7 linked regions of the Macaca mulatta genome follow. The main gene of each other region encodes a partner of the protein of the gene in region 5 in a complex. Links are inferred from orthologs where the notes say so. Each region holds a gene or a part of one and is shown on either strand. Other genes may lie near its edges. The genes, in order: PI4KB, PRKCE, CRTC1, MAP3K5, YWHAZ, ITGA4 and CDC25C.

Region 1 (4,121 bases), on a different chromosome or scaffold from region 5:
ATTAAACATTGTAAGTAGTGACTCTTTCATCATCTATCCTGTATGATTGTCCCAATAATTAATAATAAAGTATTATAGTAGCAACTTGTACTCTCTTGATCCTCACAAAACCCTGTAATGGGCTAATATTACTTCATCCATATGTCTTCTTTGTAGACATAGAAACTGAGGTTCAAAGAGGTTACATTAGTTATTCCAAATCAAACAGCTTGTAAGTGGCAGGGAAGATGGCATTCAAGCCCCGGCCTCAAGTAACTAGCCTCAATGTATTATGTAAGGCCCTAACGAGGGGCATTGAATATTAAGTAAAGCCTAGGAAAGACGTTGAGACAGAGGTTCTGAGGACAAAGAGGGCTCTAAATCAACAATGTTAACCGAAAAATACACAAAGCTGGCTGGGTGAGGTGACTCAGGCCTATAATCCCAGCACTTTGGTACCTGAGGCCCGCAGATTGCTTGAGGCTAGCAGTTAGAGACCAGCGTGGGCAACAGAGCAAGACCCTGTCTTTACAAAACAAACAAACGAAAATTACACAAAAGCAACACCAGAGGCCCATTTGCATGGCGTGTTTTTGTTTATTTGTTTCGCCTAATATGGCTTCGTTTTGTTTGGAAGAAGGGATTGTGCCCTCCAAGCCTTTGCCATTTCACTCACCTCTCCCAACCTGGCCCTGTCCAGCCCCTCCCAGGAGGGCTCGGCGTATGGATGCTGGAGGTCACAGGCTGCCCAGGCTGGTGGTGACCTCGGAGGCAGAACCACGGCCTCGAGTCGGGCCTCTCTAACGGCGAAAGACTGACGCGGTCGGACCGCGCCATTCCCGAAACGTTAAGGGGTTTAACCTCCGCATCGTCCTCAAAGATGAGTAGGAAAAGGGCAGTGAGGGAGAACGTCTTCCCCGTCCGCCGTCTTCCTGCTCGCCCTTCTTGAAACCCAGCGTCCATCCCACGGCCTGATTTACTAAGGGAGTATTGTAGCGTAGGGGATGGGGAAAAGTCATTGATTACGGTAATTTGGTTGGTTACTCAAACGGTCATTTACATATAATTTGCATGTTAATATACTTCTGGAAGTATGCATATGTCCATACTTCTCTAACAGGGCACCCACGCCCGGCAGCTCACCCTACTTATGCAGCAAATTTTACTTCTCTCTCGGCTTCTTTAGCCTCGCAAACGCTATCGCTTAGACCCGCTTCATAAAGATTGTGCCCTCCTCCCACCCGTAAGCTCCTCCCTTCGCCCTCTCTCCCTCGCGAGCTTCCAAACATCTTTTCCCCGCCCCCTTTTCTATTTCTGAACAGGCATGTTCCGGGCAGCTCACCCGACTCCTTAGATTACTATGGGATCGGTAGGGTCCTGAGCGTTGGAGAAGCAGGAAAGCTTATCCTGGGAAGAAGGGCTTGGCTTGGATTTAGGAAAAGAATACTACATCGAGACCTGCTGGGGAATTTTATTTTATTTTATTATTATTATTATTTTTGTCTTGGTTGTACTGAGGGAGGAAGAGGAGGTTGTGTGGCCCGGTCGACTTGTGGCAGCCTGAAGGCCCCTTCAGGCGGCGCCGCGGGCAGCCCCGCAGCCGGGGCCTGGTGCAGCCGCCGCGGCCGCTGTCAGGGAAGCGCAGGCGACCAATGGAACCCGGGAGCGGTCGCTGCTGCTGAGGCGGCGGTGTCGGCAGTCCGACCGCGACTGCCCGCACCCCCTCCGCGGGGGTCCCCCAGAGGTAAGCTACTCCTCCTCCATGAGTCACCTTTGCCCTGTTGGGGGGGTGGTCGCTCTCCCACCCTGTCCCGCACAGTCTTCTCCACCTGAGTTCGACTACGAAACTGCCCTCCTGGTGTCAACTGCACCCCGGGTTCCTTCTCCACCCTTTCCTCTCAGGCCTGGGGTCCTCCTCCGCTTTTTGGCTTCCTCTTCTATTAGCTCCTCCCTCTGCCTCGGGGATTCCCCCCTCCCTTACTCTTATCCCTGTTGCCTACATCTCGAATTATTCTTTTTTTAAGTCATGAACCCTTTCCACATCAGACGACTCCCATAGGCCCATCCTTGTCCTTCCTCGTCGTCTCTGCCCCTGCCCCAAACCTATTCCATGGACTCCACCTTTACCTCTTTTCCTGGTTTGCCCTTTTCTTCCGATGTCCCTGTGCAACTCCGGCGCTGGGTTCCCATTTCCCTGAGACAGCGATTGTATCCTTGTCTTCCTGTGCTGCTTCTGATTCCATTACCTCACCGTCACCCACCCACCCAGCCAGCTCCTGGCTTCCAAGAATTGCCTGTTCCCTTCTCCTCAAGGGATCTCGGGCCCTTGTCATCAATCCCAAAGTGCCATTTACATTCTTACTTTGAACCTAGTCCTCACTCTTCTCTGGATGCATTATGATCCCTACCCTTAACTTTCTGTAGCTTCTCTTTCTGCCTCCTCAATCACCCAACCTTCTAGAGGTTTCTGTCTGTAGGGGAGAGGTTTGACAGTGCCCTTCCCATTCAGGATTTCCACCTTTGACACCTCCCTCGAGTTTCAAGGATTTTGCTGATCCTTGTGACATTTGGTTCTGTTTTTCCCGTGGTCTTCTTGCGTTCTCTGTCACACTCTTTATCTCCACATACCACTTATTTCAGGATCAACTAAACCTTGAACTAAGAAGAAAAATGTGTTGTGAACAGGGGGAGCCTCAGCTGCCTCAGGCCGTTCAGGACAGAAGGGTGTTTCTGAAGGCCGGAGCAAGTTTTGAAGAAGTCCCTATCAGATTACACTTGGTTGACTACTCCGGAGCAGCCACTAGGAGGGATGAACAGGCCTGCATGGAAATTGAATGAGATTGTGAGAAATCTTGTTTCAGATTATTTAATTTTAGGCTTTTGTTAAAGGAATCACAGAATAGAGTGCCTTCCCACCCCTGTCCAGATCCATGAGGAATCAGTTTACTCTTGTGGTTTACTAGAATAGTTTTGGTTGGGGTTCCATAAGAACTCAGGCCTGGAGTGGGGTAAGGGTGTAACTGGAAAAAGGAACATGAGACAATGGAAAGAGCTTATACATTCACAATCAGGACTCCTGGGTTCAGCATGTGACTTCCTCACTTGACCTCTAAAGCGATCCTTTTGGAAAATGGCCCACTCTCTATAGGCATCAGTGCAGTAATAAGTTGGTAGCAGGACGTGGGTTGGGGGAAAAAAATCAGATTTGGTTTCTTTGTTTACAAAACATTTTGGGTTCCCCAGGCAAAAGGTATTTATTAGTGATGATTTAGTCATCCAGAGAATTTTCCTTCACCTTGATCTTTCTGTCGGATGTTTCTAGTCCACAACCAGGGGTGTAAGTCATTTTGAAAGACAAGCTCCAGGACTGCTTCTTTCATCTGCTTTGCTTTTTCGCCCAGTGCATTAAGTGGCTGATTTTCTGTGCTGTTCCTCATGTACTTGATCCATAACTCCAGATTCTATAGGTGGAAAGTATGTTTGTGGGAAAGCACTTCAAGGAAACTGGCTGGAAAAGAGAACTTGGAGTGAACTGAGACTTAGGCAACTAGTTGCTGCCATGTCTCTCTCAGCCTGTGATAGTGAAAGGGCACATAAAATTCCATTCAGTTTCTAATTCTAGGCCTGTTTGGGAGTAGTTATGTCATCTTATCCCACTTCCTTTCTCTTCCTTGTTGTTAGCCATGGTACAATCTCCTCATAATTCCCCTTATTAGAAGAAGCTTTCCTGCCGGGCGCAGTGGCTCACGCCTATAGTCCCAGCATGTTGGGAGGCTGAGGCAGGCAGCTCACCCGAGGTCAGGAGTTCGAGACCAGCCTGGCCAACATGGTGAAACCCCGTCTCTACTAAAAATACAAAAAATTAGCCAGGCATGGTGGTGGGCTTCTGTAATCCCAGCTACTCAGGAGGCTGAGGCAGGATAATTACTTGAATCCAGGAGGCGGAGGTTGCAGTGAGCCGAGATCATGCCAGTGTACTCCAGCCTGGGTGACTGAGTGAAACTCTGTCTCAGGGGGAAAAAAAAAAAGAAAAAAGGAGAAGAAGCTTTCCTCCTTGGAAGCATCTCCAACCAGAAATCGTATTTGCTCTCGTATCTGCTTTCTTCTTAGAGTTGGGTCCACACTCCATGAGAATGCTGAAC
Region 2 (4,002 bases), on a different chromosome or scaffold from region 5:
GCCTGGAAGAACCAGAGTGGCCACAACATCCTCTGGTGAAAACAGATGGGCATTCTGTACCTGCTCCACCACTTGATTCACCCTTGAGACTTTGGGCTTCTCTATCTCAAGTTTTTTAGTTTGTCCAACACCTGCCATACCTAATTCACACTTGCTATAAGGCAAAAGAGATGAAGTTATCAAGCACAATAAAAATGTCGGGGACACAGCTCATGGATCTGCAGGGAGAACAGGCTGGGAGGCCAGATGGACAGGCTCGGCTCCCCATCAGACAAGCCATGGGCAACAGGAGGTGAGGGCCCTACTTCCAACCCACCTTTGCTTGTCACGTGACCCTCGGTCCCCAATTAACTTTTCTGGAACTCAACGTCCTCATCTGTAAAACTTGCCTGTGCACTAAATGATCTGGTCTAGGGCCAAATCCAACATGAATTTGAGAACCTTAGAGGATGATCACCAAACAAGTTCCCACTGCATGCTTCACTAGGAGTGATGAAGGTGGGGACAGTGTCCTGAAGCTCCCAGAGTTTGTGGTGTGCCCCAGCAAAACATCACCAGAGATACAAAGACGCTCTCCCTCCAACCAACATCTGTTCTATGGATAAATGCAGACCTGCTGCTCCTTGTCCCTGTTTTCTGCCCCACTGTCAAAGCCCCTCAACTGCATACACTGCAAAAGGCCCCCATCTCCTAGCTACCAGCGTCAAGTTTTTTCCATCCCCTTCCTGTCCAAAAACAACAACTCCAAAATCACAGGTTTTCAGTGTCAAGGTTTGCCTCTGAAATGAGTTAGCCCTTCCACTCCCCCTCTCACATGCACTGCCTCCATGAGGAAAGAGCCCAAAGGCCATGCATGGAAAGGAAATGGGGAATGAGTGGGAGCTCTGTTGTGGGGGCTGAGGGAAGCAGAGATGAGGGACATCTGTGAAGTAGAATAGAATGGCATGGAGTTCTCAGGATTCCATAAAGGTTTGCCTGCTTTCCAAAGTGCAAACCACAAATCTAGAGTTCTACGCATGTGGCTTGTTGGAGCTTTCCTGTGAAACCGTAACCATGGTTTCAGGCAGACTACATCACAGCCATGAGCATAAAAACAACAGGCTCTCTCCTATTTTTCCCTAAAACTCCGTGTCCTTGAAAAAAATGTGTAAGGTGATATGCCAAGGTGATTCATGTGCACCCTCTGACCTCTAGGACATTCATGAAGTTATCTGGTTTTCAACAGAAAGCAATTGCTCTACACCACTTTTGAGGCTTAGATAGCTCTCTCACTTTTTCCGTAGACCAAAGAACCCCGAAAGCATATACCTCCAGAGGAACGCTTGCACTTGCTCTTGGTGGAAACATGTAACAAACCTGAAAACACAAAAATCCATGTCCTAAATTAATACCTTCCTTCCAAGAAGAGCAAAAGAAAACCAAAAAAAAAAACCCAAAAACAAATACAAAAAGCAAAACGAAGGTTTCCTTCTCTTCGCTTGTCCAAGTGCCAAGGTTGGATGCATTTGGTTTATAGTAGATTGAGACAAGACCTATTTCCAAATCCTTAATAGTTTCACAATGAAATCAATTAACAACTCAATCTCAGGCTTAGAAATCGTCTTTTATTGCACAGTATCTTAACAATCAAAACAGAGAAACAATATAACTTTAAATAAGATTCAAAGCGCTGACTTCCAATTACCCACAGGCAGAACCCTTCTTAAAATGCAACATTCATTCTGCATGGATGGGCAATGAATTGGACAAAACAAGCCCAACTGATGTTTCTGGGACCGTAGAGGAGACATCCTGGAGAACACATTTTTTCTACTCGTATGTCAGAAGATGAGCTAACCACCATGCAGGAGAACAGAAACAAGCCAGCTCCCTCTCGGAGGGAAAAATAAAGCAACTCCTCGCTCGGCTAAGCAGGACAAAGCCAGGACGTGCAAGAAGCCTTCAGTCAAAGGCTCCACGTGCCTTTCCAAGGACGGAGGGACCCACCCACACACAATCACACACAGCCAGCCCACCACGCGCCTGCGGAAGAAAGCCGGGTCCTCGGCCAACCTTCAGCACCGGCGGCCCAGGCTCTCCCAGTTTGCAAACCTCCCGCAGCACCCACCATCTGGAGGGCACAGAGGGGGCAGAGGGCCACATCCTCTTTCCAAGTCTCATCTTCCTCGCCAGTGCCTGTTTCTCCCCAGCTATGAAGTGAAGTGCACCTCCTCAAGGAAACTGAGATTTACAGACACACACACACACCCCAGTCGTCAATAAGTCCCGGACCCCTACGATCAAGGCCAGCGAGTCTTTCCCCGGGACCCCACAACCGGGTTCCCGGACCGACGTGGAGGCGCCGAACTCACCCAGTCCTCGAAGTGGCGGCTCCCGTTCTGCAGCAGCTCCTCAAACTGGATGGTGCAGTTGGCCACGAAGTCGTCGTAGCCTATGGGGGCATCGTGAAAGACAGCCAGCTCGATCTTGCGCCCGTTGCACACATCGGTGACGAACTCGTCGTGCCAGGCCGGGCTGTTGGTCTTCTGCTTGGTGGCCGTTTGGCCAATGCGCGAGTCGTCCACATTGAGAGCAATGTAGGGGTCGAGAAGGAAAGTCTGCGGCCGGGGTCCCACCGCATGGCGCAGCGACCAGGCTGTGGGCTTCAAGCTCACGGCCTCGCAGATTTTGATCTTAAGAAGGCCATTGAACACTACCATGGTCGGGGCGGGGAGTGGGGGCCGGGGTCACTCCGTCTGCCCCGAGGGCAGGAATGAAGAACCGACGGCCCGCTCCGAGCCACAGGGACTCCTGGGTCCCCTTTCGCCCCACCCCACACACTCCCTACACCTTGTGGCGTTGCGCCCTGGCGCGGGCGAGTCTCAGCCAGTGCATGTATTTCCTCGCCGGGTTCCTAACGGAAAACAGGGAGGGGGGAGAGCTGGGGAATGTCCGTGTTTGGAGCAAGTCTCTCCCCGCGACCACCAGCTGCACCTCCAGAAGAGAAGACGAGCTGTCGGCTCCGCTGCAAGCCGCAGGGGCTGCCTTGCCGCCTCGCTGGCTCTCCGACTCCGGGCTGCGGGAAAGCGGGCGCCGCGCCCGGCGTTTACCTACCTTTCCGAAACATAATCCCGGGAAATTTCGACTCCGGGAGGGGGATGGGGCGGTGGGACGGGGCGGGGACGAGAACCGGGGGCGCAGATTTCAACCCGGATCCTCTTCGCACACTCAGCGCCTGCCTCTGGCCGCGCGGGGCGGGGGGTGGACGGAGGGATGTTCAGTTTATCCGGAGGGATGCATGTCGAGAGGAAATGGTCCCCCTCGGAGCCAAATTTTTAAAAATCCACAAGCCCCACGACCAGCCGGGGCCGCCGCCTCCTGGGCGAAGCAGCGCCGCGCCGGAGTCGGCGATCGGGAGGCGCCAGGAGCCCGGAATCTCACATCCGCGCCGGCTCGGAGTCCGGGCGGCCGCCGATCCGGCTCGGGGGCGCAGGCCAGCACCCGGCGGTGCGCAGCGCGGCGGCGGGGCCGGGACTGCGACTCAGCGCGGCCCCACCTCCTGGGCGCCGGCGCCCGCCCGCCGCGCTCCCCGCGTCCCAGCTCTCGGCTGCCGCTCGCTCGCCGCCCGCCAGCCCGCGCTCCCCCGCGGTCTCCTCTCCCTCGGTCGGTGTGCGAGCGAGTCTCCCTCCCTCTAATGCAGGAAATGCGCAAAAGACGTCAGTGTGTGTGAGTGTGTGTGTGAGTGTGTGTGCACGCGCGCGCGCGCACGGCAGTGTTTGGGGAAATAGAAAGTTTTGCCGGTTGGGGGAGCAATACGGAAAAAGTGAGCCGAAGAGAGAACCGTGGAGAGCGGGCGAGGCTGCCCGGGGTCGCGGCGGCGGGCGGGGGAACCTGGGGAGGACCCCGCGCGGGACCCGCGGGAGCGGCGGCGCTGGGCTGGGTGCGCGTGCCGGGGGCCGTGGATGGCCACGGATGGGCCCCGCCGGGCCGCGCATCTCTCGGGGACCCTGCGGTCAACACTGT
Region 3 (4,051 bases), on a different chromosome or scaffold from region 5:
AGTCCCTCCTGCTCCCCTGGCTCACCACTCTGCCATCAGGGAGTCTCTGCTCATTCTTTCACTGCTGAGTCTTGACGGGATTTATGGACCCTTCTGTTAGCACCTTTTTGCAAAATAGAGATCCTTGAATAAGACTGGACTGGAGAAGTACGCAGAGGGAAGGCTGAAGCTCTGTAACTCCCGTTCTTTGGGCTCAGGTATCCAGAGAACAGCAACATGCCCATTGCAAGGGAATGGGAAAAGACCGTCGTTGGCTGGGCGTGGTGGCTCACTCCTGTAATCCCAGCACTTAGGGAGGGCGAGGCGGGTGGATCACCTAAGATCAGGAGTTAAAGACTAGCCTGGCCAACATGGTCGTTAGTCTCTACTAAAAATACAAAAATTCGCTGGGCGTGGTGGCGCATGCCCGTAATCCTAGCTACTGGAGAGGCTGAGGCAGGAGAATGGCTTGAACCTGGGAGGAGGAGGTTGCAGTGAGCCGAGATCGAGCCCCTGCACTCCAGTCTGGGCGACAAGGGCAAAACTCGGTCTCGAGAAAAAAAAAAAAAAGAAAGTCGTTAAGGACAACCGCTAGGTTTATGGACTGAGGGGGCCGATTGCAGGGTTCAGGTCTTAGCTAAGATAACTTCCTGCCTCCCTGTCTGTGGTGGCTGCAGGAGCCCCCCTCCCGAATGTTCTGTGGCTGGCCACTGGTGTTATTTACCGCATCACATTTATCTCCATCTGAAAAGTTCTTGGTTATTTGTGTGCTATGTCTGCCCCCTCTCTGACTGTACACTCCATAAGGGCAGGATCACCTCTGCTTGTTCACGCCTGTACCCCAGTTTGCCTGGCACATAGTAGGTGCTCAGTAAATATTCCTTGAATGAATGAATGCATGAGTGACCAACGCCCTAGTCTGTTTTCAGAGCTCTTAGTCCAAACCCAGGTTCAACCTTGGGGTGCTACCAATCCTTGGGGGGGTGCCTGGCCCCACCCTTGTGAATTGGGAGGATCTGGGTCAGGCCGTCTCCCTTTTGGGGGCTCCAGTGCCCCAGCCGGTTCGCCGTCCTTGTCCAACAGCCAGGCGGCCGCTGTCCAGCGGGCCAGGCGGCGGATCACTGCGCCGGCGCTGAAATTTCCACTCGCGCCCCACTGTACTTCCCGCGGGCCCCGAGCGCGCCGCCGGGGCGCGCGCATGCGCCTTCGCCCCCGCGCCGCGCGCCGCTCCCGTGCGCCTGCGCCGCGCTCACGACCGCCGGCGCGCCTGCGCACAGCTCGCCGCCCGTGGGCCCAGCCGGCGCTTGCGCGGTGGCACGGGCGAGTGGGGGGGCGAGGAGGTGGAGGAGGAGGAGGAGGAGGAGGAGGCGGCGGCGAGAAGATGGCGACTTCGAACAATCCGCGGAAATTCAGCGAGAAGATCGCGCTGCACAATCAGAAGCAGGCGGAGGAGACGGCGGCCTTCGAGGAGGTCATGAAGGACCTGAGCCTGACGCGGGCCGCGCGGGTAAGGGGGCTGCCCGCGCCGACCCTTCAGGGCCGGCGGAGGGAGGGAGGGGGCGCGTGTCCGGCGCGTGCACGGGGCGGGGGGGGGGGGCGCGGCGGGGGCGGGGCGCGCGCGACGGGGGCGGGGCTTGGCACGGCCCGAGGGGGACAGGTGTCCCCACGCCCCGGGCGTCGTGGGCGGGACAGGTGACCCCACATCATCCATACCTGATGGGGTACAGGTGCCCCCACATCACTGCTCCCCGGAGGAGATAGGGGCCTCTACATCATTACTACTAGGAGGGAACAGGTGCCAGTACCTTGTCGTTACCTGACAGGGGACAGGTGTCCCTACATCATTGTTACCCGAGGGGGACAGGTGCCCCACATTATTACTACCTGGAAGGGACAGGTGCCCCCGCATCATTGCTACCTGGGGGGCAAGATGACACAGGTGTATGAGCTGGGTGCTGCTTGCAAGCACCATTGGTAGCTGGGGGTGAGGGTGCAAGTGCCCCCGCATCCTTGCTACCTGGGAGGGACAGATGCCCTTCCATCCTTGCTACCTGAGGGGGACCGGTGTCTCTACGTCATTGTTACCTGTGCCTTTACTCCCTGGGTGTTGGAGGAGGAACAAATGTCCCCACTTGCAGAGCTGAGGTGGGACAGGGGTCTCTCCCTCTTGGACAGCTGAGGGAATGGTCAGATCCTGTCCCCCAGGGGATCCAGAGGGGGGCCAAGAAAGCAGATTGTGCTCGGTCCTGGAACTTGGAGTAGAGACAGCTGCCCCTTCTCCATGTAGCCCATATGGTGGGGACCAGGTGATGTTCCTCCTAGTGGAACAGGGGACGCCGACCACGGATGGCCCCTGCCCTCTCAGGACCAGGGCAGAGGGCCAGGTCTGCCTCAGGTGGCTGGGTGCATTTGGTGTGCAGGAAAAGGCCAGGTTCTGCCAGGCTGGCAGAGCAGATACCCTGCAAATCTCACCTGGGAAGTTGTTGTGGGCCGGGAGTAGGGGCTTGATTGGGGCTGGTGTCTGAGCACGGCAAGGCACCTGAGTTCCTCAGGCCTCAGTTTCTTCCCTTGTCAGGCATTCTAGCAAGACCTTCCTCCTGGGCCAGGGCGGTGAGCACACTTTGCAAAGGTGATGCTGAATCTCCACTTTGTTCTTGCAGTGTGGTGAGACCTCTCTCCTGCATCCTGGGGCCTTGAGGAGGGTTTGGGTGGGGGCTTTGCAGATGCTCATATCCCTGGTTTCTGGATTCGGCCACTGATGTGACTGGCTCAGGTGGACTTAACCTCAGTCTCCCATTCCTTAGGTAGCACTTTCAGGTTGTGTTACTTTGTAACTAGTTGTTTGTTTCTCTGAGAGATTGTGACCTTATAGACCTTATAGGATTTGTGTCTTCATTTCCGTGTTAGTAATGATTGGGAGCTTGCTGTCAGCCAGGTACTGCTTTAGGCATGCTAGGTGAGCGTGCCACATCTGTCCCTCCAGCTCCAAGCAGCTACATTCTTGCTCAGGATGTAGAGAAAGAGATGGCTGGTGAATGAATGAATGAATGAAAAAAAAAAAAGATGGCCAGGCGCAGTGGTTCACGCCTGTAATCCCAGCACTTTGGAAGGCTGAGGCGGCAGATCACCTGAGGTCAGGAGTTCGAGACCAGCCTGGCCAACGTGGTGAAACCCCATGTCTACTAAAAATATAAAAATTAGCCGGGCGTGGTGGTAGGCACCTGTAATCCCAGCTACTCAGGAGGTTGAGGCAGGAGAATCACTTGAACCTGGGAGGTGGAGGTTTCTGTGAGCTGAAATCACGCCACTGCACTCCAGCTTGGGTGACAAGAGTGAAACTCCATGTCAAAATAAATAAATAAATAAATAAATAAATAAATAAGAAGAAAGTGTGCGACTTGAGCATCCTTCCACATGAGTGTTCCCCACATATCAGGGCTTCTGAGGTAGGAGTGGCCACTTCTTATCTCTAGCACATGGTGTGTGCTGGTATTCAGTTGGTGTCAAATGTTTGCAGTGTGACCAGAAGAAAGGGGTCACAGTAGGTTCATGGGTGTCATTCTGATTAGAAGTCCAGTTTCTGCGTGGGATTGGAAATAGATCATTGTTGTTGAAAACATCTCTTTAAAATAATAGCTTTATTGAGATATGATTCACGCATCATACAATTTACTTGTTTAAAGTGTACAGTTTGGTGGTTTTTAGTATATTCACAGAGTTGTGCAACCACCGCTATTTTGTAATTCCAGAACATTTTTTTATCCACCCAGAAAGAAACCCCATCCCCATTAACAGTCACTCCCCATTCCCCCTCCCCCAGCACCTGGCAAGCACTAAGCTGTCTTCTGTCTCTGTGGGTTTGCCTATTCTGGGCATTTTATATAAACGGAATCACACAACACGTGGCCTTTTGTGACTGGCATCTTTCACTCAGCATCATGTTTTCAAGGTTCATCTCTGTAGTATCATGGATCAGTGCTTTGTTCCTTTTTACGGTCAAGTAATATTCCATTGTATGGATATGTTGTATTTGTTTATCCATTCATTGATCAATGAATTTGGAAAAATTCTG
Region 4 (4,267 bases), on a different chromosome or scaffold from region 5:
TTTCTAGAGCCCTAGAAAAAAACGCCCAATCAGTGCAATAAAAATAGGCTCAAGTGTTCAGTTGGGTATTTTCCTCTCATATCTTTTAGTTCTTTGAAGCTTCTTCCAAATTATAATCCAAAAATAAGAGCGCTATAATTTTTAGAAAAGTTACGTTGATGTAACTTTTATAGCAAGCTACCCAAAGAATCAAGCTATAATACATTATAGCCATGCTCAGTTATGAAGACCAAAACTATTTTAAAAATACCAGAACCAGAAAGTCCTAGTTTATTTAGTCTGGCTTCCTTAACATGAAGTTCTTGTTGTTCTTAAAATACTCAGCTTTGGCTGAATTCCAAAACTGACATACGCCTACTTCAGGTGTTTGGAAGATACTGAAGAGAATCAGAATTGAAAACAAGATTGGAAAATAAAGCCTTTTATGTGATCACAAATGCAAGAAGTGTACTGTTTTGAAACCATTAAACCAAGTTTTTACCCACAAATGTAAACTTAAATATGTATATATTCTCAACACTGGACGTACAGGAGGCTAAAGGTTAATTTCGATAGCATGGTATTATTCCTAACATTTGCAAACAGCTAATTGCTTCAGTTACTAGAACTGCCTTAACGTTTTCTGAAATCTGAGATAGGTTGAAAAGATACATTTCTTTCATGGATTATGCTAGCAATCACTTTAATGGCCAAACTAATCTTATTACTAGGATAGCATATAGGTGTTTTAGACAATGTTAAATTATAAACTTTCTAGCCCATCATGGTTTATGGGGTAACAAAAAACAGGCCCTGGTTCTTTCACCAAAATCCTTACAAAGATAACACACAAGTTCAGTGTAAGTTGTGATGTTATTGCCTTTGGAAGCACTGTAATTACTTCAAAGTCTGGGTTGGTGAGAGGAAATTCAAGCTACTAAAACTTATTGAGGGTAAGGTGTGTTGCGAAGCTCATGATACGGCGTGCAAATTACTATAGTTACACTCTGCGTGCATGGTATGTCATCGTTCCTGTACTCTCAAAACTACACGGAGAAAAGGAGAACCTCATCTAAAACGGTCACAGGTATATACAGAAGGAAAACAGGGACCAAACCTCACAGAAGCGAAACCGAGACACTGAACGGAGAAGGACTGACTGGGGCTAATATCTCTCACTGCTAGAGAACAGTTCAAGTCGATCGCAGGGACCCAGGGCTCCAGCGTTGGGCGGTGGGTGGATCCATGGGTCTCTCGCACAAATACAGACTCTTTCACAAACACACACGCTCTCCCCGGAGCAGCAAGCGACAAGAGCAGTCACGCAGCAGCGCTCGCTGCCCCCAAAGTGGGGCAAGAAGTAAATGCTTCCCGCCCAGAAAAATGAAATGCCCCGAAGATGGCCAGATTAAACGTGGGTCCCGACCGCGCGGGATGGCAAAGGGGTCACACACGCACCTGCATTGTAAAAGCGGTCCAGGACGGTGGTTTCACCAAAGTCGAGTTTCCCAAAATGCAGGGTTTCCAGGGTGGCGCCCACCGTCTCGCACGCCTCCCGCAAGCTCTGCAGGGCCTCGCTCTCGGCCACCACCAGTTGCCCCTGGCTCGCTTCGTTGATCACATATGCCACCGTGGTCCGTCGGCTGCCCCCGCCAACAGAGCTGCCCCGGCCTCGGGTGGCACTGCTCGCGGAGGTGGCCGCGGGACACCCGATGCCTGGGGCGGCGGCGCTCTCCACGTTCCAGAAGCTGCCCGGCGGCGGCGGTGGCAGCTGGTGCTCCTCGCTCTCGCCCACCGCCGCCGCTCCTCCCCTCCTGCAGATGCCGCCCTCGGGAATGGTGCAGAAGCCCGAGGGGGCGAAGGGTGGCACGGAGAAAGTGATGCCCTCGCCCGCCTCCGTGCTCATCTCTCCGGGCCGGGCAGCAACGGCGGCGGCGTCCCCCGCCCAGCCGCACCGCCTGGCCAGCCACAGCTCGGGGCTGCTCCGCGCCCGCCGGGCTAAGCAACTGCCATCGCGCGCCGCGCCCTCGCCGCCTCGCCGCCGCCTCCTCTCCGGCGCCCTCTCCCCCGAGGGCACGCCGCTGCCCGGCGGCGGCTCGCTCCTCCTCGGCGCCTCCGTGGCCGCGCCGCTCGCCCTCTGCAGGGTTTAGAGTACAAGGGGTGGGGAAGTCGGGTGAGCGGGAAGGGACGGAGCTTCCTTTTCTTGGCCGGCTGACAAGTCGGCTTACAAACCTGCGCTGCGGTGCAGCTCAAGGGCGCCGCGCTCGGGGTGCAGCCCGCGCTTGCCACCAGCAGCGCCGCACAGCGCAGCTCCTTCCGTCCCGGCCGCTCTGGGAGGAGCCAGGAAGGGCGCCCCCTGGGTGCTGAGCTACCTGGCGCGCACCTTACGAGCGGGCGGGCTCCCCGGGCGACGTCCCGGAACAGCAGCAGCGGCAGCCGAAAGCACCCTCCTCCCTCCTTGGCGGCAGCTCCCCTTCATGGGCTGGATTTCCTCCTACTCGCCCGACCTCGTTTCTCTTCCGATCGCCTCCGTCGCGTCGTCCCCGCGCCAGCCTCGTCGCTCCTAGCAGTCGCTCTCACTCTCCGCCACCAGCTTCTGGCCACCCACTCGTCGCGGCACCCGGGATCAGGGCCCGCCCCCAGGTAGGGCGCTGCTAGGAAGCTCGAGCCCGGACGAAACCGACCGCGCTGCGGCCCTCGGACCCCAGCCCTTCTCTGAGTGCCGCCCGTGGCATGGGGTCCCGGTCCTCACCCACCCGGCCCCCAACTAAGAAGACCTGGAGCGCAAGCGATTATAGGGTGGCGCAAAAAGTCTCTCCAACCAATACTCGGTCCTCGGAGTCCGCCCCTGAAGCATTTCCAGTGTTCCCCGCAACGAGGGCGCCCCCCTCCGGGCCTTGGCGGCCTCGTGGACTGGGACCGTGCGAGGCGCTGGCAGGACAGGCTCCGGGAGACCGACGTTGCGCGAGGCAGGAGGTTGCACATAGCGCCCTGGACCCAGGGCCTACACCGGAGGGTGCTTCATTAGTGACTGTGGCACTCCAGAAGTGGCAGGCCAAATTTATCAGGTTCTCCCATGTACCTTTCCTTTTAAAATTTCCAGTGGCTCATTCCGTTATGAGTAATGAGTAATTGATTAGTGCCAACTGCCGAAGGACTTAGCATTCTCATTTAGGATCTTAATTCCCCCACAAGCGCCAGATACTTACTTAAGATAGAAAATGGAGTCTATACCCGACTCCACAAATTATCAGCAAGATGAAACAGGAGAATTACGTGACCTATTCTATTTTTTAAACTGCATCACTCGAGGAGGGGAGGGAAATACCCAGATTGTTTAAGAGCAATCAAAAAAGTACCTGCTTATTTGGGGAGCAAAGAACAGATGTGTAAGTTCCCAGAGAACCCCAGAATGCTGTAATTGTTAGGAAAGCCAGTGCAAGTTACAACTGAGTAAAGAAATAGGTTTTGTATTTCCCGTCTCCAGGAACTGAGACTGGTGAGTCCTATGAAAAGGGCAGAAGAAAATGTAAATTACTTTTTTCTTTTCTTTTTTTTTTTTTTTTTTCTTTGAGACGGAGTTTCGCTGTTCTTGCCGGAACGGTAGTGCAATGGCGCGATTTCAACTCCCTGCAACCTCTGCCTCCCGGGTTCAAGCGATTCTCCTGCCTCAGTCTTTCTAGTAGCTGGGATTACAGGCATGCGCCAACCACGCCCGGCTAATTTTGTATTTTCAGTAGAGACAGGGCGAGGCAGGGAGGCTTCACCATGTTGGCCAGGCTGGTCTCGAACTCCTGACCTCAGGTGATACGCCCGCGTTGGCCTCCCAAAGTGCTGGGATTACAAGTGTGACCCACCATGTCCAGCTATGAATTACATTTCAAACCGGGTAATAAGGAAGGATAAAATAATTGAATACTAAAGAATTAAAGGAAAGGCTGGGCGCAGTGGCTCATGCCTGTAATCCCAACACTTTGGGAGGCCGAGGCAGGCAGATCACTTGAGGTCAGGAGTTCAAGACCAGCCTGGCCAACATGGTGAAACTGCCTTCTCTACTAAAAATACAAAAATTAGCTGGGCGTGGTGGCAGCCGCCTGTAATCCTAGCTACTCGGGAGGCTGAGACAGGAGAATCATTTGAACCCGGGAGGCAGAGGTTGCAGTGAGCCAAGATGGCAGCACTGCACTCTAGACTGGGCGGCAGAGCGAGACTCCATCTCAATTAAAAAAAGAGAGAGAGAATAAAAGGATTAAAGGAAAGAGTTTTTAAATTTTCTCCAAGGTGGGAG
Region 5 (4,244 bases):
AAGCGCTCTCATTGCTAACCGTACAGTCTCTATGACTGTTGCAAGTGGTTTTGCAGGTCATCCAGGCACTAACCTTTTCTTAGCCCGAACACATTTAAAGAGTGAAGGGGCAGCGCACTGTGAATGTTTCTCTCTGAACTTCCTTAAGTCAACTGGGCGGAGGCCCTACCCGTTCAGGCACCTGCAATTTCCGCCCTTCTCCTTCCCCTTCTTCCGGGCTACTGTCCTCGCTCATCACCCGGCCCGTGGTCCACTCCCACCGCCAGCTGGAACCCTGGGGACTACGACGTCCCTCAAACCTTGCTTCTAGGAGACAAAAAGGTAATGATCGTCATGTGTTAAGTCACTGCAGTATGAGGTCTTCACGTGAAAGCTTTATTTGGGTAGGAAAACCTAGCCTACGAGAAACGGGTCCGTGCGGTCACGCCTGACTGCCTGTCTCCGGGTCAAGGCTGCCAGGACCAGCTCCAGCCCTCCGCCAGAGAAGGTTGTCCTTTCCCCTCGGAACTCTGGCTTCCCTAAAGCGGACGCGCCTCCTTCCAGGCCTCACCTCCCGCCGGCTCCGCCCGGCCCGGCCCGGCCCATCTCGTCCCCACCTCGGCGCCCACCCATTGTCCCCTCGGGCAGTCACCGAGCGCAGATCCCGAGCTCTCGATTGGAACGCCTCCCCATCACTCAGCCACACTCGGGCTGGACGCCTCACTCCCGTTTCCGAGCCATAAAAGGTCTAGGGCCGCTTCCCCCAAGCCAGCAGGTAAAGCCGCGGCGGCGGGAGGGAGGCCGGGAGGGGCCGCGCGCCCCTCCGGGCAAGGGGAGCGGCGGGGGGGGGCGGGGGGAGCGCACCACACACAACCCTCCCTTGCCGTGCGACCGCGCCCGGCCCCCGCCCCGCAAGTCCTGATCACAATGCCGGAGCCGCCGAGCCACCCTCGTCATCCTGCCCGGGGACGGCCCTGGGGCAGTTACTACCGCGAAGCACGGAGGGCGGGGCGGGGCGGGCCGGGCCTCGGGGAGAGGTGGGGGGATGTGAAAGGTCCCGGATGTTGCTGAACGGGAGCCCCTTCCAGAGGGAGTGACTGGGGCAAGCGCAGACGGCCTGAGCGAAAGCTAAGGTGGGGGTAGGGAGAGAGCGCCTTCCCACAGGCTGAGAGGAAGAGTGGACCCGCGGAGGCCACAGGGGAGAGGGAGAGAGAGGGCGTCGGGGACCCAAGGGGAAGGCGAGGAGTGGGGGGGTTTGCGGGAAAAGAAAAAAAAAGCTTCCTGCCTAGGTGCACTCGGGACAAGAGTAGAGGAGCTGGGAGCCGAGCGGGGTGGGAGAAGTGGCGGCTGCGGGCGAGGACGCACGCGCCTCCGCTCGCTCTCCAGCGCGGGCGGGCAAGACGCGCGCCGGGGAGCGGCGGTTGCGCGGGGCCCAGATCGCTGTGGGCACCAATCAACGGTTGCCATAGCAGCGTTTGACGTCATCGTGCGTGTGGTGCCCCTGCTGCCGGGGCTGGTGATTGGAGGAAACCCCGTGTCTGCGGAGCGGCTGTAGCCTGTGAGCAGCGAGATCCAGGGACAGAGTCTCAGCCTCGCCGCTGCTGCTGCCGCCGCCGCCCAGAGACTGCTGAGCCCCTGTCCGTCCGCCGCCACCACCCACTCCGGACACAGGTGAGGAACCTGGCAGCCGCCGCGCCCCGCTCCTTCCTGTCCCAGGCCAGCCTTCCGAACGCGTGGGAGCCGTCCTCGCTCCGTCCTCTCATCCCCACTAGCCCCGCGGTGGCGGCGCCGGGCTGAGGCGGAGTCTCCTCAGCGGACACGGGCGGCGGCTCCTCTTCCGCTGAGTTCGGGCGGGCGGCTAGCGGCCGCCTCCGACTCCTTGCTTCCGCATCGACGCCCCGGCGCCGATCGGTGCTCGCTCCCCCGTCCTGCTCCCGGGGGTGGGGAGGGCGCCCACACGCGAGATCCCCGGGGATCCCCCTGTCGCCGGCTCCCAAAGGTGGACGAGGCATGGCCGGGGCGCCGCCGGCCGCGATCCGTCCCCACCCTTGTCTCTGCGGGCTCCCACCCCCTCCCTCGTCGCCCTTCTCGCTTCCGCCCGAGATAATGACTCGGCGGCGGCGGCGGGCATCGCAGTGGCGCAGGTGAGGCCGCCCCCTCTTCTCTCCCTCGGCCGCCCCCTCCTTCCCCTCCCCCGCCCCCCTCCCCCTCGCGCAGCCTCTGCGCTGGGCGCTGCGGCGGCGGGACCCGGCCCTCCCCCACCCCGGGAGGCGGCGGCGCGGCGGGGAGGGGCCGGGGGCCTCGGGGATCCAGGAGCGAGGGAAAGGCCTGGCCGAGAGCGGGCCGGAGCCCAGGCCTGGCACGGCGGCGCCCGCCAGGTAGACCGGGGCGAGGCCGCGCGCCGGCGCGAGGGGGAGCACACTGCGGGGTGAGGTTTTGGGGTGGGGCTCTCCTGGGACCTAGAGCTGAATTTCGTGGGCTCCGCGGTGGGAGGAAGGACTTGAAATTTCCTGGTGGGGGTGGGGGATGGGTCTGACTTTTTTTGCTCCTTTCGAACGGGCGGAGGAGGTGCGGACGGGGGCTGCGAGTCCAGGTGGGGGTAGAGAGCGGGGTGGGGAGCCCGCGTCGGCTTCCGTGCGTGATGGACTAGAACTGGAGGTTCCCTGCGCTCGGTTTGGGGACGCATATCCTGCTTTGGGGGCGGGTGACCCTGAGCATAGCCGCTGGTGGCCCGCTCTGCTGGGTGTGGCTCTCGTCCCCTCCCCCACCTGCAGCTGTCGGTCCCTTAGAGACGCTGTACACGGGCATCGGCGCTGATCGGTGGCGGGGAAGGCGCTGGGTGGGAGAGCGGGGTGTGTCCGTGGCGGGGCTGGTAGTGGTTCCGCTTCTGCGGGCGGCTGTGGCGTCTCTGCCCCGGGGTCGGGCGGCTTCGCTCCCCCCCACCCGCCGCGCCACGGCTTGGGCGGGGGCGCGGGCTGCTCCTCCCTCTGGCTTCGGTCGGAGGAGGGGGGAATTAACACTCTGCAGTAGGTTGGGCTCCCTGACACAGATCCGCCATGACAAAGGAGAGTCGGGGACTTGAGCGGAGGCTCCGACTTGGGCGGAGCCTGGAGGGGGGTGGTTGCGGATAAGTGGACCGGAGGATTTTCACTTTAAAGTCCGGGTCTGCCGGTTTTCGTTTCGCCGTAGTCGACGTCTCAAGTCAGGTAAGGGTTAAATGGGTGCGGTGAGTCCTGCCCGCAGTGTAGAGGCGAGGCCTTGGAGCACTCATTACTGTGTGAGAAACCTTATCCACTTCCTCTTGTACCGAAGTGATTGGGTAGAGAATCCTTTGTACTGGTTTAAATCATTTTTCATTAGAAGCAGAATTAACCAGAGACTGTTTCTGAGATCCTAAGGGAAAAATTAGTAATTTAGACACCTGAGGAAAATAATGCCGACATAAAGGTTAAATAGTTTACGTATTGAGCCAGTACCTTGTATCCAAAGTGGCTAAGTAATTTGTTTAAAATGTGGGGACCTGTTCTCATTTAGTTAAAAAAATACTGTGAGATTTCCCTGGGAAGGCAAAAGATGATTAATATTCGAGAGTCAGCTTCCAAGGTGAACTCTTCCGTTCACATAATTTAAAAGTGCACTTCATTCAGGGTGTGTATTTTTCTCTCAAGTCGTTTTTTTTTTGGTGTGGTATCGCTGTGTGGATTAGTATCTTTGTGCTGTTTGCCAACTTGCCAAAGGATATCTTTCCAGAAAAATGTAGCTGAGGTAAATAGAAAAGGTCTAGGAAACTAAAACGCGAGGGAAAGAGAATTAGGTGGATAGTCATGGTGAAGAACAGCTTGAGTGATAACATCCAATTACAGTATGACAGCTAGACGCAAAATGCAGCACTTCTGCATTTCAACTGGAGCAATGACATTGGAAACACTTGTAAATCAAGTACTTCCAACGTGATATATTCTAGTACTCACAGTAAGAGTTGAAGTGCCATGACTTGTGGATATTTTTAAAGCATGTGGACATATAACAAGATAAGGAGTTGAGGCATTAGGGTCAGATATTGATCCTTTGTGGTGGATTTATACTCAAAATATCTGAAAACAAACAGTTTGGTCATTCCTCCCCCCAAATTGTTATGCTATTATTGGCTGGCAAATGTTGCAGAGATCTAGTAGGTTTGGGGTGGGGGTAACACTAAAACTAAAATTTAATCACTCCTGACGAAAGTATTATGAAAGTAAAAAGACATGAGTTAAACTGACAAG
Region 6 (3,510 bases), on a different chromosome or scaffold from region 5:
TGTCTTAAATACTAAAATAAATGCAAACCAATCCTTTATTCAAGTAATAATGCGAAAATGGATAACTGTTTTCAGTCACACTGTAAGCTATGAATTCACCATGCATTTATTGAGTTATGCTTTGAATATTATATATTTCATTACAGCTATAGATTTACAGTGCAACTTTTACATTCGATTTAAATAACAGAACCATATTCTACCATCTCCATTGAATAATTATTTTAAGATACATTTTTGTGTGATATGGACCTACAGAAGTAACTTGATTGGTAGACTTCTTCATAGCACTTGAAACTACTGTGCAAATATGAGGATTATAGCCTTTTTTGAAGGAAGCACTATTCAAACCACTTCTTAAGAACCAATATTCTTTCATTGATGGTTCCATCAGAATTGTTTTGAGCTTGCCAGGTTGAAGACAGAAGTCAACAAATCTAAATACGTTTGAGGTCTGATTTTAAAATCCTACTTAAATTCCGGATTCAGAGAGAAGAATATGGTGTTATATTGTTTCCCCTATAAAGGAAAAGAAATATTTAATATCATGCTAATGTTCCAATATCAATTTTTACATTTCTGCAAGGTTTAAGGCCACGTTATCAGCTTAGAACCTATATCCAACCTTCTATAATTCAGCTGGGTTTTTGTGTTTCTGCCACACATATTTAGTCACTCCCAAATATGTCAAAAAAAAAAAAATTCTACAATTTCAAAGGTACTTAATATATTTTAGCAAAGATAAGCTACTGGAACTTTTAAAACCATGTTGCTTTTTGCTGTTTTTTCCAATGATGAAAGATAAGATTTCTCTTCCTTTCTATCTTCATAGACTACTACTGGAGAATGCCACTTTGAAAATTATCAAAGAGTATGTGCATTAGAGCAGCAAAAGAGTGCAATGCACACCTTGAAAGGCATGTTCCAGTTCTTGTCCAAGACTGATAAGAGGCTATTGGTAAGTTTCCATTTTTCAGGTTGTAGTTGCTGCTTTCCAACAGAGAAGTGAAACACTTAAAATCAAGTCAATGGGTTTGAGCTGTCACTTCAATAAAAGAGAAGCCAAGTTTAGGTAGTATTCTTGCATGGAAGGAACAAGCACGGTTGGAGAGTTGAGAAAGACCTAGGGTCTATCCCATATATAAATATGTTAGCTGGGCATGGTGGCTCATGCCTGTAAGCACTTTGGGAGGCCAAGGTGAGCAGATCACAAGGTCAGGAGTTTGAGACCAGCCTGGACAACAGAGTGAAACCCCGTCTCTACTAAAAATACAAAAATCAGCCAGGTGTGGTGGCAGGTGCCTGTAATCCCAGCTACGTGGGAGGCTGAGGCAGGAGAATTGCTTGAATCCGGGAGGTGGAGGTTGCAGTGAGCCAAGATCATGCCACTGCACTCCAGCCTGGGTGACAGAGCAAGACTCCATGTCAAAAAGAAAAAAAAAGTTATACAGTTTCATTTTTTTATCTAACAAATGCCCACTATTTGCCAACAAAACATTGTTCCAAACCCTTCAGGACACCAAGATGTTGTCTTCACCTGGGCAGCCTTTGTGGCATGGGTTAATTTTCATTCTTTTCAGCTTAGTGAATGTATGAAAAGAAACTGGAGAAGCAGTCATCACCTTGAAATGATCCACGTTTTACAACAAACATAGAATATGTAACTTAGCAAGACTCTGATTAGAACATTTTTTTAAAAAATTCTGTCCCAGAAGATTGTTAATACAAATAGGAACATATGCTCTATTTTAAATACTTTATTATAATTTAGAAAATAAGCATTCATGTCTTGTTTAAAGATAATTTAAATGCCACTGAGGAAAGCAGATGTTAAATTTCATATTTATAGAAAGATGATTTTCAAAATGCCATTAGAGTATATATTAAATTATATATAAAATATTTTTAAAATATTTTCCAGTGTTGAAAATTTTAATGTATCACTTTTATATTCCTTTCAAGTACTGCATAAAAGCTGATCCACATTGTTTAAATTTCCTATGTAATTTCGGGAAAATGGAAAGTGGAAAAGAAGCCAGTGTTCATATCCAGTTGGAAGGCCGACCATCCATTTTAGAAATGGTAAGTCTAGGCCAGGCGCGGTGGCTCAAGCCTGTAATCCCAGCACTTTGGGAGGCCGAGACGGGCGGATCACGAGGTCAGGAGATCGAGACCATCCTGGCTAACATGGTGAAACCCCGTCTCTACTAAAAATACAAGAAAATTAGCCGGGCGGGGTGGCGGGCGCCTGTAGTCCCAGCTACTCGGGAGGCTGAGGCAGGAGAATGGCGTGAACCCGGGAGGCGGAGCTTGCAGTGAGCCGAGATCACGCCACTGCACTCCAGCCTGGGGCACAGAGCAAGACTCCGTCTCAAAAAAAAAAAAAAAAAAAAAAAAGAAAAAAAAAAAAGAAATGGTAAGTCTAAAACATATTGACAACTTGGTGGCTAAGTTTACATACAATCTATAAATTCAGTCATATAGGCAGGATAGTATGAAGACATTCAACAAATAAAATTTTGGAGTAAAACTCGAAAACTATATTTCTGTCACTTCAACTAAGTGAAATGGCTTTAGAAATTAACAGGTAATAAAGGCTAAAATAGGCCAGGCATAGTGGCTCAATCCTGTAATTCCAGCACTTTGGGAGGCCAAGGCAGGAGGATCACTGGAGGCTACGAGTTCAAGACCAGTTGTATTCCTAGGTAGATGTGTGGTGTTATTTCTGGGGTCTCTGTTCTGTTCCATTGGTCTGTATATCTGTTTTGGTTAGCCTTGTAGTATAGTTTGAAGTCAGGTAGCATGATGCCTCCAGCTTTCTTTTTGCTTAGAATTGTCTTGGCTATATGGGTTCTTTTATGGTTCCGTATGAAATTTAAAGTAGTTTTTTCTAATTCCGTAAAGAAAGTCAGTGGTAGCTTGATGAGAGTAGCCTTGAATCTATAAATTACTTTGGGCAGTATGGCCATTTTCATGATATTGATTCTTCCTATCCATGAGCATAGAATATTTTTTCCATTGGTTTGTGTCCTATTTCCTTCAGCAGTGGTTTGTAGTGCTCCTTGAAGAGGTCCTTCACATCCCTTGAAAGTTGGATTCCTAGGTATTTTATTCTCTTTGTAGCAAATGGGAATTCACTCATGATTTGGCTGTCTGCTTGTCTATTGTTGGCATATAGAAATGCTTGTGATTTTTGCACATTGATTTTTGTATCCTGAGACTTTGCCAAAGTTGCTTTTCAGCTTAAGTAGTTTTTGGGCTGAGACCATGGAGTTTTCTAGATATACAATCATATCACCTGCAAACAATTTGACTTCCTCTCTTTCTATTTGAATACCCTTTGTGCTTTTTTTTTTCCTTTTCTGAGATGGAGTCTCGCTCTGTCCCCCTGGCTGGAGTGCAGTGGCGCGATCTCGGCTCACTGCAAGCTCCGCCTCCCGGGTTCCTGCCATTCTCCTGCCTCAGCTTCCCAAGTAGCTGGGACTACAGGTGCCCGCCACCGTGCCCAGC
Region 7 (2,381 bases), on a different chromosome or scaffold from region 5:
CACCACGCCCGGCCGAACATCTGTATTTCAAACAAGTTCAGATGATGTTGATGATCTAGGGTCCAAACTTTGAGAATTACTGGTTTTTTGTTTTGTTTTTGTTTTCTGAGACAGAGTCTCTCTCTGTTGCCCAGGTTGGAGTGCAGTGGCACGATCTCATTGCAACCTTCACCTCCTGAGTTCAAGCGATTCTCCTGTGTCAGTTTCCTGAGTAGCTGGGACTACAGGAGCATGCCACCATGCTGGCTAATTTTTGTATTTTTAGTAGAGATGGGGGTCTCACCATGTTGGCAAGGTTGGCCTCGAACTCCTGACCTCAAGTGATCCACCCACTACGGTCTCCCAAAGTGCCAGGATTACAGATGTAAGCCACGGCCTAAGAATTGCTGGTTTAGAGAAAAGCATGTTGGCCTCAGCTGAGAATAAAGATAATATGTCTGAAGTAGTCTAACTTGGTGATCTCCTCTGTAGACAGATCTTCTAGGAGCAGGCTAGGCTCACAATCACACGTCTCATTCTGTAGTGTTTATTTTTCCATTTTTAAAATAGAGGGGGAAACAAAGAAGGAAAATACAAAGAAAGAGGGTAGACAACTCTCTTGCACAGCCAGAAGCCCAGAGAGAAAGAGTTGGCTGGCCTGTGAGAAGACACGAGGAGTTGGGAAGAGGAATGCCAGAGTTCCCTGAACCAACAAAAATCTCTCTGCAACTCAAGTCTGCCACTCTTATAGAGCCACTCCAGGACTCTGCCACCAGCTTTCAGCTCTGCTGAAACCGAAGCCATTCCCAGGCCTGTACACAAGTTGGCAGCCTGGTGGTTTGCAGAGACATCTTTTAATAATCTTGGGTTTGGCCATCCAGAAGGCCTCTTTCTGCTCAGGGTTTCTGCAGTGTCTTTTGGTGACTCGTTAGCAGCCAGTGGTTGGAATGTTGTCACGGGCTCACATCCTTCACCAGAAGGGCAATCTGCTCCCGCAGCTGCCGCTCCCCTTCCTGCACTTTGCTCTGGCTTCGACACCTCAGCAACTCAGCCTTGTGGTCCTGATGATGCATAGGGCAGTAGCTCTGTGGTTCACACAGCTCCTGAAAGGTAAGGAACAGAGTAAGGGATTCTCTAGACTCCTGAACTCTACCTACGAAGGATAATAGAGATGCTGCTGCTGGCAGTGGCCACGGAGGAGCAGCAGTTTCTTCTCTGAGGGCTTTGCAGGCCCTGGGAGTTGCATGCTAAAATTGGCTCCCCGCATGCCCCACCCTTTACCAAATATTCTGGAAAGAAGTCTCTGTAGCCGCCTTTAAGGATATATAGCTCTGGGTAGTACAATGCAGGATACTGGTTCAGAGACCTGTCCTCTTCACGCAGAGAGCGGCACCTTTAGAGAGAACCCAGAGATGGGTGGGGTGGAAAGAAACAAGGTCAGGATCCCAGGGGCTATTCACTGGGCAGGGAGGAGAGGAATAGACTATTGCCAACCTCAACAAGGACCTTCCAATCTCACTGTGTTTGCAAAAAAAAAGGTCCAAGTAGCACCACCCTTCCTCCTTTCCTCCACTGCGGTCTCATTCTCAAGTCCCTTTTCCTTTATTGTTTCATACTTTTCAATTTTAGAAACGTCTTCCTTCAACCTCCCTAACATTCTTCAAACCGTAGAATCCAGTCAGTCTCTGTCTGAACTGGTGTGGGAAGTCCAACTCAAAATCCATTTCCATCACCCGCCAGACCCCATTTAGACACTCACATTCGGGGGCCCCTCTCTGAGGAGAATTCACAGTGGAACACGATGATTATTCTCTTCTGGGTGTCCAAAGGGACAATGGGCTTCTTTAGAAAGAAGCTAAACAGTTCTTCCTGACTATACAAGTTTAAGGCTCCCTGTAGAAAAAGAATTTTAGTATTTCCTCAGGGGCTTATAGACAGTGCCAATACTTAGAAATGACTGAGACACCAACCTGGGATAATTTGGACCAGAAAAGCTGGACTATCAGCACCTTTAGGGCAGGGGTCTAAGTATATCTCTGTATATACCCTGAACGCCTGGCATAGAGCTTGGTATGTAGTAGATGGTCAATAAATGTTCATAGAACTGAACTACTGGAAGTATAGGGATCACTGCGAGGAATGTTCATGAATATTAAGTGTTTGCAAAGTGCTTTAGTCCTTGGATTCATGTTTTTATTTCTAGGTAGGACCCCTTGGCTCCTACAGAAAAGAGGGAGATAGATCTAGGAAGGAAAGGGGAAAGTAAGCTGCTTAAGGTATACAGAATTAAAACAATGAGGACCTCAGCCTTGATGTGCTTCAAATATGTAATCTTTGTCCTAATTCTAGAGTTCATAGGTCCCTTTGTCCACAGACTCTTCTCAATAAAGAGCTATCTCCAG

What was found.
Region 1: the proteins of YWHAZ (region 5) and PI4KB are in contact, whole or in part, in a crystal structure (PDB 5NAS), measured with the Homo sapiens proteins. The link is inferred for Macaca mulatta from reciprocal best matches to the Homo sapiens genes YWHAZ and PI4KB. Residues at the interface, in NP_001129171.1 of Homo sapiens: Asn42, Ser45, Val46, Lys49, Arg56, Phe117, Lys120, Arg127, Tyr128, Gly169, Leu172, Asn173, Val176, Tyr179, Glu180, Leu216, Ile217, Leu220, Asn224, Leu227, Trp228; in NP_001317650.1 of Homo sapiens: Lys290, Arg291, Thr292, Ala293, Ser294, Asn295, Pro296, Lys297.
Region 2: the proteins of YWHAZ (region 5) and PRKCE are in contact, whole or in part, in a crystal structure (PDB 2WH0), measured with the Homo sapiens proteins. The link is inferred for Macaca mulatta from reciprocal best matches to the Homo sapiens genes YWHAZ and PRKCE. Residues at the interface, in NP_001129171.1 of Homo sapiens: Asn42, Ser45, Val46, Lys49, Arg56, Lys120, Arg127, Tyr128, Gly169, Leu172, Asn173, Val176, Glu180, Leu216, Leu220, Asp223, Asn224, Leu227, Trp228; in NP_005391.1 of Homo sapiens: Lys365, Ala366, Leu367, Ser368, Phe369, Asp370, Asn371, Arg372.
Region 3: the proteins of YWHAZ (region 5) and CRTC1 are in contact, whole or in part, in a crystal structure (PDB 7D8P), measured with the Homo sapiens proteins. The link is inferred for Macaca mulatta from reciprocal best matches to the Homo sapiens genes YWHAZ and CRTC1. Residues at the interface, in NP_001129171.1 of Homo sapiens: Asn42, Val46, Lys49, Arg56, Arg60, Lys120, Arg127, Tyr128, Glu131, Gly169, Leu172, Asn173, Val176, Tyr179, Glu180, Leu216, Ile217, Leu220, Asn224, Leu227, Trp228; in NP_056136.2 of Homo sapiens: Arg147, Arg148, Thr149, Asn150, Ser151, Asp152, Ser153, Ala154, Leu155, His156.
Region 4: the proteins of YWHAZ (region 5) and MAP3K5 are in contact, whole or in part, in a crystal structure (PDB 6EJL), measured with the Homo sapiens proteins. The link is inferred for Macaca mulatta from reciprocal best matches to the Homo sapiens genes YWHAZ and MAP3K5. Residues at the interface, in NP_001129171.1 of Homo sapiens: Val46, Lys49, Asn50, Arg56, Lys120, Arg127, Tyr128, Glu131, Gly169, Leu172, Asn173, Val176, Tyr179, Glu180, Ile217, Leu220, Asp223, Asn224, Leu227, Trp228; in NP_005914.1 of Homo sapiens: Ser964, Ile965, Ser966, Leu967, Pro968, Val969.
Region 6: the proteins of YWHAZ (region 5) and ITGA4 are in contact, whole or in part, in a crystal structure (PDB 4HKC), measured with the Homo sapiens proteins. The link is inferred for Macaca mulatta from reciprocal best matches to the Homo sapiens genes YWHAZ and ITGA4. Residues at the interface, in NP_001129171.1 of Homo sapiens: Lys49, Arg56, Lys120, Arg127, Tyr128, Glu131, Gly169, Leu172, Asn173, Val176, Tyr179, Glu180, Ile217, Leu220, Asn224, Leu227, Trp228; in NP_000876.3 of Homo sapiens: Arg1007, Gln1008, Tyr1009, Lys1010, Ser1011, Ile1012, Leu1013.
Region 7: the proteins of YWHAZ (region 5) and CDC25C are in contact, whole or in part, in a crystal structure (PDB 5M36), measured with the Homo sapiens proteins. The link is inferred for Macaca mulatta from reciprocal best matches to the Homo sapiens genes YWHAZ and CDC25C. Residues at the interface, in NP_001129171.1 of Homo sapiens: Lys11, Glu14, Gln15, Glu39, Val46, Lys49, Asn50, Arg56, Arg60, Val61, Ser64, Lys120, Arg127, Tyr128, Glu131, Gly169, Leu172, Asn173, Val176, Glu180, Asp213, Leu216, Ile217, Leu220, Asn224, Trp228; in NP_001274511.1 of Homo sapiens: Gly210, Tyr212, Arg213, Ser214, Pro215, Ser216, Met217, Pro218, Glu219, Asn220, Leu221, Asn222, Arg223, Arg225.

What each region holds. Positions count from the first base shown.
Region 1 is NC_133406.1:115,752,882-115,757,002, forward strand, and holds the start of PI4KB (phosphatidylinositol 4-kinase beta), read left to right. Parts: upstream 1-1,319; 5' UTR 1,320-1,723; intron 1,724-2,619; 5' UTR 2,620-2,788; coding exon of another isoform or gene 2,789-2,813; coding exon 2,814-2,821; intron 2,822-4,089; exon of another isoform or gene 4,090-4,121. UniProt on the Homo sapiens protein: Phosphorylates phosphatidylinositol (PI) in the first committed step in the production of the second messenger inositol-1,4,5,-trisphosphate (PIP). May regulate Golgi disintegration/reorganization during mitosis, possibly via its phosphorylation.
Region 2 is NC_133418.1:79,191,510-79,195,511, forward strand, and holds the start of PRKCE (protein kinase C epsilon type), read right to left. Parts: upstream 2,806-4,002; 5' UTR 2,700-2,805; coding exon 2,352-2,699; intron 1-2,351.
Region 3 is NC_133424.1:19,237,841-19,241,891, forward strand, and holds the start of CRTC1 (CREB-regulated transcription coactivator 1), read left to right. Parts: upstream 1-1,248; 5' UTR 1,249-1,360; coding exon 1,361-1,486; intron 1,487-4,051. UniProt on the Homo sapiens protein: Transcriptional coactivator for CREB1 which activates transcription through both consensus and variant cAMP response element (CRE) sites.
Region 4 is NC_133409.1:41,902,934-41,907,200, forward strand, and holds the start of MAP3K5 (mitogen-activated protein kinase kinase kinase 5), read right to left. Parts: upstream 2,810-4,267; 5' UTR 2,459-2,809; coding exon 2,363-2,458; intron 2,117-2,362; coding exon 1,438-2,116; intron 1-1,437. UniProt on the Homo sapiens protein: Serine/threonine kinase which acts as an essential component of the MAP kinase signal transduction pathway. Plays an important role in the cascades of cellular responses evoked by changes in the environment.
Region 5 is NC_133413.1:111,307,875-111,312,118, reverse strand, and holds the start of YWHAZ (14-3-3 protein zeta/delta), read left to right. Parts: upstream 1-1,440; 5' UTR 1,441-1,650; intron 1,651-1,821; exon of another isoform or gene 1,822-2,123; intron 2,124-2,242; exon of another isoform or gene 2,243-2,407; intron 2,408-3,024; exon of another isoform or gene 3,025-3,185; intron 3,186-3,228; exon of another isoform or gene 3,229-3,254; intron 3,255-4,244.
Region 6 is NC_133417.1:86,445,862-86,449,371, forward strand, and holds part of ITGA4 (integrin alpha-4), read left to right. Parts: intron 1-832; coding exon 833-958; intron 959-1,962; coding exon 1,963-2,082; intron 2,083-3,510. UniProt on the Homo sapiens protein: Integrins alpha-4/beta-1 (VLA-4) and alpha-4/beta-7 are receptors for fibronectin. They recognize one or more domains within the alternatively spliced CS-1 and CS-5 regions of fibronectin. They are also receptors for VCAM1.
Region 7 is NC_133411.1:147,148,082-147,150,462, forward strand, and holds the end of CDC25C (M-phase inducer phosphatase 3), read right to left. Parts: intron 1,873-2,381; coding exon 1,739-1,872; intron 1,373-1,738; coding exon 1,261-1,372; intron 1,083-1,260; coding exon 933-1,082; 3' UTR 511-932; downstream 1-510. UniProt on the Homo sapiens protein: Functions as a dosage-dependent inducer in mitotic control. Tyrosine protein phosphatase required for progression of the cell cycle. When phosphorylated, highly effective in activating G2 cells into prophase.